2 linked regions of the Saccharomyces cerevisiae S288C genome follow. Changing the gene in region 2 together with the main gene of any one other region gives a genetic interaction. Each region holds a gene or a part of one and is shown on either strand. Other genes may lie near its edges. The genes, in order: PUG1 and FRE4.

Region 1 (3,566 bases), on a different chromosome or scaffold from region 2:
ATGTGGTATCAATGGCTGCTTACCGGTGACCAATGAATACCATCTATCCCACCAGTAGCAGTCCCACCATAACTTACGATATTCTTCGGCAGTGTCCTCATCCTGACCAATATAATATTCCCAACGATTCAAACCAGCATCCAAACTTCGCCTGGACATCGTGGAAATAATTCTTCCCAGCACAAAAGGATCGTCTATCCAATATCTGTGTTTCATCAACGAGACTAAGCCCTTTAAAATAGTCAAGTCGTACATTGTCGAAAATAGGGATCTTTCAAAATATTCAAGACAGAGACAAAAAATCAACTCATCTTGCTCAAGAAAATATTTCAAAGGAAGTAATTTTTTGGAACTTTTACGATCCAACGCCTTGTGGTGCTGTTCCATCAATTGTACTCCGTACATAAACCAGTCTGTTGGTTTATTGAATTTGATTGTTTGGTTAATGTTTGTATTTCCTTTGATTTCATTCGATATATTTGACATAATGTGTTGAATAAGTACGTCGTTCCCACATGAAAGTCCGTTTAGCTTTGAATAATACTCTAAAGGAGATATCGAAGTTACTTTAGGACCAGCATGGCTAGCAGAGCTAGCGTCAAGAAACTTCAAAAATAAATAGATAGTTTCTCTCGTCTCCCTATCATTCGAACATGAAATCAATTTTTTAGTTATCCAGCTAATACCCGTAGAGGCAAAATATAGCAACGGTGAATAGACCCCAAAGTACATACTGACATTTTGTGCAGTATTGCTTTCAAAAGCGTTGGAGAACCTATTCAAAGATTTTGACTGTTTCCCGATAATTTCTGTTTCTATCGATTTCAGGCCACCATACGAGCTAATTTCCTTACTGTCCAGATTGAGGTAAAGCTGAGGTTGTATTTTTTCAAGCTCAGTGCAAATGTTTGCTAGGCCTTTCTGTAAAGAGGCCGGTGCGCTTGGAGGTAACTGTGCCTTCAATTTTGCTATGCTGCACTTAGCATTATCCAAATCATTACTGAGACTACCAGTATAATTGAAAAAAGCCTCAATCGGTTCACGAAATTGATTTCTATACGTACATTTTGATTGAGACCCAATACACCCAAAACATGGCTTCTTACTGTTGCACTTAATCTTTTTCCTATGGCATCTATCACAGGCCTTGGTTACCCTAGATTTTTGTTTGGCTAATCCTCTTTTTGCTGCCATCTCAATAAAATATAAAAAGCTAAAAAGCTTAAAATTTAAACAACAATAATGTCGTTAACCTAATGCGCTTATTCGATGAGATTTGGATTTGCTTCTAGCTTATAGAAAGGAAGAAAGTTTTTACTGTTCAAAGCACACATCAAAAAAATTATTACCCAGCCTTTCAAACAAACAAAGTACTCCAAAATAGTTATTTTTGAATACTAGCAAACCAACCAATCACTTTTTTTGTTGGATTATCAAATAAGCCTAATCAGGTCTTTCATGCAGCGTTGAATCCAGGTTACTTCACCGCACCTTAAGTTAAGATCAGGACAGTATCGGCTGTTCCTGAGAAACCAGCCATATTCAAGTTTCGGTATCCTAACCGTTGATATTGTCCTTATTTGTCGACCTTCAAATATTGTGGCTGCCATGTATATGAGCGCCTCGATCTATTATGACTAAGCCATGCGATTGTCGTGTAATGGTATCGCGCATACTGAAGGTTTCAGCCCTGTTTTGATGTGCCGCGGCAAAGTGGTTTTTCTCCATACAGGATGAAGTGTTTCTTTCCCCATGCCGCGGCAAGCTCATCCTAAATAAATCTCAACTTTTCAACTAAATGTACTTCAATTGAACAAATGCCAAGACCTCAAATGAATCAGTATAAAAGCACCTACCGAATCAATTGTGGGATGTATAGTCTCTTGCCTCAAAATGTCCAGGATAGTAGGTTAATAGTGTCCAATTACATAGCTACTTAATCTTTTATTGTCCATCAACGTTCCAAAATGTCCACAACTGATTCGGGGTTCGTACTTTACCACTATACGCCAAGTAAAGCGGCTGCAATCGTATTTGTCGTACTCTTCATTATAATGACAGTCATTTTTGCCGTTCAAACTTTATATGCTGCGAGAAAATCTTCTAAGGCATTGAAAAATAATCCATTTGAGTCATCTGATGATAAGGTCGATAGTCTTGAGGATGCTGAATACAAGCAACTAAAAATCACACCCACAGTTTTTGCGTTTATACCTTTCTTCACTGGCTGCATCATGGAAGCTGTCGGGTATATCGGGAGGGCTCTATCCAGTTCCAATCCTGAAAGAACGACCCCATATATTATCCAATCTGTTCTTTTATTAGTCGCTCCAGCACTAATAGCTGCGACGATTTATATGATTTTTGGAAGGTTATTACATGTTATGAGGTGCCAATCTTTAATTTTGATTTCTGCACGCTTTGGTACGACTTTCTTTGTTGTGGGAGATGTGTTTAGTTTCTTTTTACAAGCTGCAGGTGGCGGACTAATGTCTAAGGCAGGATCAACGAAGACTGGTTCAGGACTCATAACTGCGGGTCTTTTTGTACAGGTAATTTTTTTTGGATTTTTCATTATCAATGAGATAAGATTCACAGTAAATGTTAAAAGGAGATGCTTATTTTACGAAGATATTTCCAGAAAGTGGATCTTTGTGAATGCTACCCTATTATTAAGCAGTATGTTGATCCTACTACGTTCAATTGTCCGAATAGTTGAATTTATTCAGGGATTCAATGGCTATATAATCTCTCATGAGTATTTCATATATGTCTTCGATGCTGTACCTATGTTATTGGTAATAATAGCATTTAGTGTGGGATCCTTTTTCGGCAACGTATTCGATGTTATAAAGGAGTGTCAAACGTTAAGTAATTAGATAATATATATCAAATTTTGATTTCTATGTAGTGCAGCCAATCAATTTTAACTTCATTTAGAATAAAAATCTTTCCTCTTCTGCTTTGAAGCCATTAAAACGAAAGATCTAGGCGGTACTATTTCTCCATTCTCAGCCGTACAATCATGCACCGAAAAGGAAGGCAATGTATTGAATTTTTCGCCGAGAACAAAATATTTGTAAACACTCGTTAGATTCCGCATTGTTAAGTGGCATCACAAACACAATCAAGATTAAGAGAAAAGTAGCTCGTTGAGAAAGATTCTTGTACATATCGGGATACTTCTGAAGTCTAATAAAACATTCAAATAAAGACAGACTGGATAAAAGATTCCTGAACGTCAAAACTTATATCTTCTTGTCCCTTGGAATGTCTCTCTGCTCTTATATTGTTGCTGTTGAGTGGTCTCATGACAATAAAGTATGTCACTGAATTGAAGACTACTGAACCATGGCAGCTAATACAATCACGCCCATCCAGAAAAGTGTCGTGTGGCGAAAATTTTTGTTCACGTTGAACAGAGGGTACTGATTTCAAAGTGCTCTTAAGTCGTAATGACGGCCCTAATAATGATTTCCAGACCCTTTGGAAGGAGTTTCTTCTTTAAGTACTGCCCTCCCTGATCTATATTTGTAGGAAATTTTTAAAGTACCTAGCCTTTTTCT
Region 2 (4,785 bases):
CGATAAACAAAAACACTTTTTCTGTCTACCAATCGCAATAATGCTGCAATTTTCGCCTATCCAAGAGTTTTTCCATGGTGATAAGGAATGGTTTTGGCTTAGTTTGTTTATTTCCAAAAAAGAGTTTACTTTTTATCCAATAGAGGCTTCGAATGTAGGAAGATTAGAGAAGCCGGAGACTCTAGAAAGCAGTACAATCTGTTCTACCCAGCTATCTCACACGGACGTGTACGGTAATCTTTTGTGGTTGAATGGCGGATTATCCGTTTGCAAAAAAAATTGTTGGAATTATGATTTTACAAAGCGTAAAGAGATTGCGGCCAAATACAAAAGCGTTGATGAATTACGGAATTACTATCAATCACCTGTGAAACTCGAAGCTGTCATAATACCCGATGTCAGCAAGTCCCCCTGGTCGCAACAGAGCGAATGCGTTATGTACAGCTATTGCACACATTATAGGAAGGGACAGTACGGAAAATTGATAGAGTTTACAGATTCTCAAAAGAAATATTACGAGAAAGTTGTAGAATTATGGAACAAGGTTGTATAGAGTATGTTTCAGTATGAGTACGGTGAATTTCCTATAAGTTTTTAAACTTTTAGATTTTTCTATAAAGCATGTTAAACCCTTCTTGACATCGTTTTCAAACGGCATCTTTCCTACGGAACTAGGCTGTTTTTGAGATATCCTTATTTAAGTTCCTCTTGGCACAATGTTATTCCCGCATTTATATTTAGTTAACATTATGTGAAATTCGCTCATAAAAAGAGCCTTAGCTCTTTCTTCATTTTGCCTCAAGAAAACTTTAAAATAAAGTAGGAATGCCAACAATACTTTTCTTCAGTAAAAGACGAATATTGGCGTAGAATTTTACCGGTAATCATATATACTTGGCTTAGAACACTGACACATGCATTTTTCTCTGGACCCTTGCACAAATCATCAGTAGCGCCTGAATCAAAAACTAACAAAATACCATATCTGTTTTAAACAAATAAGTATATCGCATGAAGTAAGTTTCCCGCACGTAAAACTACTACAACACATTTTCGCCTAGAATTATAAGAATGTTTAGTGCATTGGCTCCAAGCGAGTAATTGTACGATGCACGTGCATAAAAAGTGCTCAGTACCCAGTTCCGCTATTAGCACAGGGAAATTTTCCTTACAAGCGAGCCCTTCAATAGCTTAGGAAGTAAGGTTACTTTGGCGACGGCCATAGATGCCTGAGTAGCCTTTTTCCTTTTTCCTTCCCTCAAGAATGTGTGAAATGACGTTTTCGGGATAAAGCGGGCGCTAGCAAGAAACTTCTACTAAGAGTAACGTGGCTGAGAAGAGAAGAATAATAAAGGTATGCCATGGAATAATTTTAGAAGAGGGGGACCTGCTTCTTAGAAACACGTAATCTGAATCCCAGAGCAACTGCGTACAAAACAAGATCTTGGCTTTGTAAGCAGGAACGGCTTTTTCCGATAGAAGAACGTTTTTTGTTTTTTTATGCAAGACCGTCTAAAAATTTGCACCCTATTTAACATAGACACTCAACGAATACCATAATTGCACCTGGTTTCATAGGACCCTGAGGGAACAATACTCAAAAGAACAAAGACTACTGGTAGAGGTCCCGATATATCCCTTCACTGCCGGTGACTATGGTAAAAATGAGGTTACAATTTCTGTATCGTTAGAGAAAATTTTTTTCGTTAAGGCAAACGCATCAGCGTTTACATAGGGAATTCCTAGCGTAGTTTAATGAGCAAGGTACATCAAACCCTAGTAGTTCTTGCAGTTACACAAAATATTCGTTAAAAGCCAGTTTTTCTCCTCTTTCTTAGTCTTGGCTGACTCTCATATAAAACAACTAGAGAAGCTGAGAAAGACTCCAGTTAATCGTGTCTCCCCAGCGTCTATTTCTTGAACCTGAGATGGCTAAATAAGCTTAGGTAGGCAAAACCATGTTGTTGGTACATATTATATCTTTCCTTCTGTTCTTCCAGCTTTCGGCCGCAAAGGCCCCACCCAGTAAAACGTCTCTAATAAATACTCATGAGAGAAGGTCGATATATTCATGCTACGTTGGTTTACGTAAAGAAACATGGGGGTTCAATGGGTCCGCTATATGTCGGTATGAACCAGCAATCCAATCGATGCTTTACTGTCTTTACGAAGACACGCATGAGAAAGGGTATTCAAATAAAACTTTGGAGAAAGGTTTTGAAGAAATGAGACAATTTTGCTATACACCAAAGTTTTTGAACATGACTGATGCCGAGTTTTACACCTCATTGGATAATGGAACATACTATATACAAGATCAACCTAAAGCTGGCATCAATATCACTTATCCTATCAGACTGAACACTACACTAAGAAAAGCATACTATGATGCATACTATGGTTACTACTATAACCATGACATTCCGTATTATTTCGGGGGCATTATCTGTGCATACTTTGTGGGTGTCATGTTGCTTGCAGGTTTAATTCGTTTTTTGAATTATACCCCAATAAAAAAGATTATGTTTCAGCAAAAGCTAGTCAATTACGTGAGAGGTTATACTACTCTACCCACTCTTTATGAAAAGCATGCAGAGCCCTTCTCGTACTTAAAAGTGATAACAGGCTATCTTCCTACTAGGTTTGAAACGTTGGTTATTTTAGGCTACCTCATACTTCATACCATTTTCATGGCCTACAAATATCAATATGATCCATACCACATCATATTTGCCGCTCATAGAGCAGAAGTGGCACATTTTGTTGCGTACAGAAGCGGTATACTTTCTTTTGCACACCTGCCACTCATTGTTTTATTTGCGGGAAGAAATAACTTTCTCCAACTTATTTCTGGCTTGAAGCATACCTCATTCATTGTGTTCCATAAGTGGCTGGGAAGAATGATGTTTCTTGATGCAATAATTCATGCTGCCGGCTTTACGAACTATTATTTGTATTATAAAAAATGGAATACGGTTAGATTAAGAGTCTACTGGAAATTCGGTATTGCTACCACCTGTTTAGCGGGAATGTTAATTTTCTTTTCCATCGCAGCATTTAGAAGACACTACTATGAAACGTTTATGGCCCTCCATATAGTATTCGCAGCACTATTTCTCTATACTTGTTGGGAGCATGTTACTAACTTCAGCGGTATCGAATGGATTTACGCGGCAATAGCAATTTGGGGAGTTGATAGAATTGTACGTATCACCAGAATTGCACTCTTAGGATTTCCTAAAGCAGATCTACAACTGGTTGGATCTGATTTGGTCCGTGTAACGGTTAAAAAACCAAAGAAGTTTTGGAAGGCAAAACCAGGCCAATACGTTTTCGTTTCCTTCTTGCGTCCATTGTGCTTCTGGCAGTCGCATCCATTTACAGTGATGGATTCTTGCGTAAACGATAGAGAATTGGTCATCGTTCTGAAAGCAAAGAAAGGTGTGACAAAACTGGTAAGAAACTTTGTTGAACGTAAAGGCGGCAAGGCATCCATGAGATTAGCTATCGAAGGCCCTTATGGCTCCAAGTCCACCGCCCATCGCTTTGATAATGTATTATTGTTGGCAGGTGGCTCAGGGCTTCCCGGTCCAATTTCTCATGCCCTTGAATTAGGAAAGACAACAGCTGCAAGCGGTAAAAACTTTGTACAGTTAGTCATAGCAGTAAGAGGACTAGACATGCTCAACGCGTGTAAGAAAGAACTAATGGCATTAAAGGGCTTGAATGTTCAAGTTCACATTTATAATTCTAAGCAAGAGCTAGCTTCGGCTGAAAAAATTTCCTCAAATGAAGTCAAAAACGGTGAAACGACAGCAGAGAAGGCCCCATCTAGTCTAAGCAATTCAGAAAAAGCTCCTTCTGAAAGTGAAAATACAGAACTACCTCTTTCCCTGAATGACACGTCTATCTCCGATTTAGAATTTGCCACTTTCCATGTTGGAAGGCCAAATGTTGAAGAAATACTAAATGAATCTGTTAACCATTCTGGTTCACTTGCCGTCGTATGTTGCGGACCACCTATTTTCGTCGACACCGCTAGAAATCAAACTGCCAAAGCTGTTATCAGAAACCCATCAAGAATGATTGAATACTTGGAGGAATACCAAGCCTGGTGAACAATTTTTCATATTTAAGTAAACACTCAATGTATAATATCCTCTAACTGTTGTAATTTCATTAACGTAGATGGTTTGCGCCTTTTTTAGGGGACTCTTGTTGATTGATTCTAACTACTGAGGCTTAAGTTGTTTCAAATAACACTTTTTCAGAAAAATAATCGTATTAAAAAGCAGAAAAATCATACGTAAGATGACAGAAGCTTCATATTTAGTAACTCTGAATTGTATAACACACCAATTGCCGATAGAATATGAACCAATCGATCTTCAGCGTTCATGTACTTAATTTAACTACCTGTATTTTCTTATAAAGATAAAATTGGTGTATAATGTAAGGACCAAGAGAAAAAGGAATCCCGCATCCCAAGCAATTTCTAGTGGACTATTTCTTCAAAAAATAACTCAATAAACACCTATATAATGTTCGGAGGTTATACTTTAGTGTTTTAGAATGCAGTACCAAAAGTAATATATTGAATTAATAACTATATGATGTGTAGCTAAGAATTAAATAGTAAACGTCTTCTGAAACCTTTTAAGAGGTAATTATTGGTATTCCAAATTCATATGTGGAGGTAAGGGAGACACAAAATTATCTGGAATGACAGCGTGCTGACACCTATAAGGTTCCGTAACTTCAAATGCCTTCATTACTCAACATAGG

What was found.
Region 1: mutations in FRE4 (region 2) and PUG1 together harm fitness more than expected from each alone (negative genetic interaction), as found in Saccharomyces cerevisiae (one large-scale study listed by BioGRID).

The regions. Positions count from the first base shown.
Region 1 is NC_001137.3:557,487-561,052, forward strand, and holds PUG1 (Pug1p), read left to right. Parts: upstream 1-1,967; coding exon 1,968-2,879; downstream 2,880-3,566. Other genes in the region: TOG1 (Tog1p), read right to left, coding at 1-1,194. UniProt on the Saccharomyces cerevisiae protein: Involved in inducible protoporphyrin IX influx and heme efflux.
Region 2 is NC_001146.8:737,993-742,777, forward strand, and holds FRE4 (ferric-chelate reductase), read left to right. Parts: upstream 1-1,958; coding exon 1,959-4,118; downstream 4,119-4,785. Other genes in the region: MNT4 (putative alpha-1,3-mannosyltransferase), read left to right, coding at 1-553. UniProt on the Saccharomyces cerevisiae protein: Siderophore-iron reductase responsible for reducing extracellular iron prior to import. Catalyzes the reductive uptake of Fe(3+) bound to dihydroxamate rhodotorulic acid.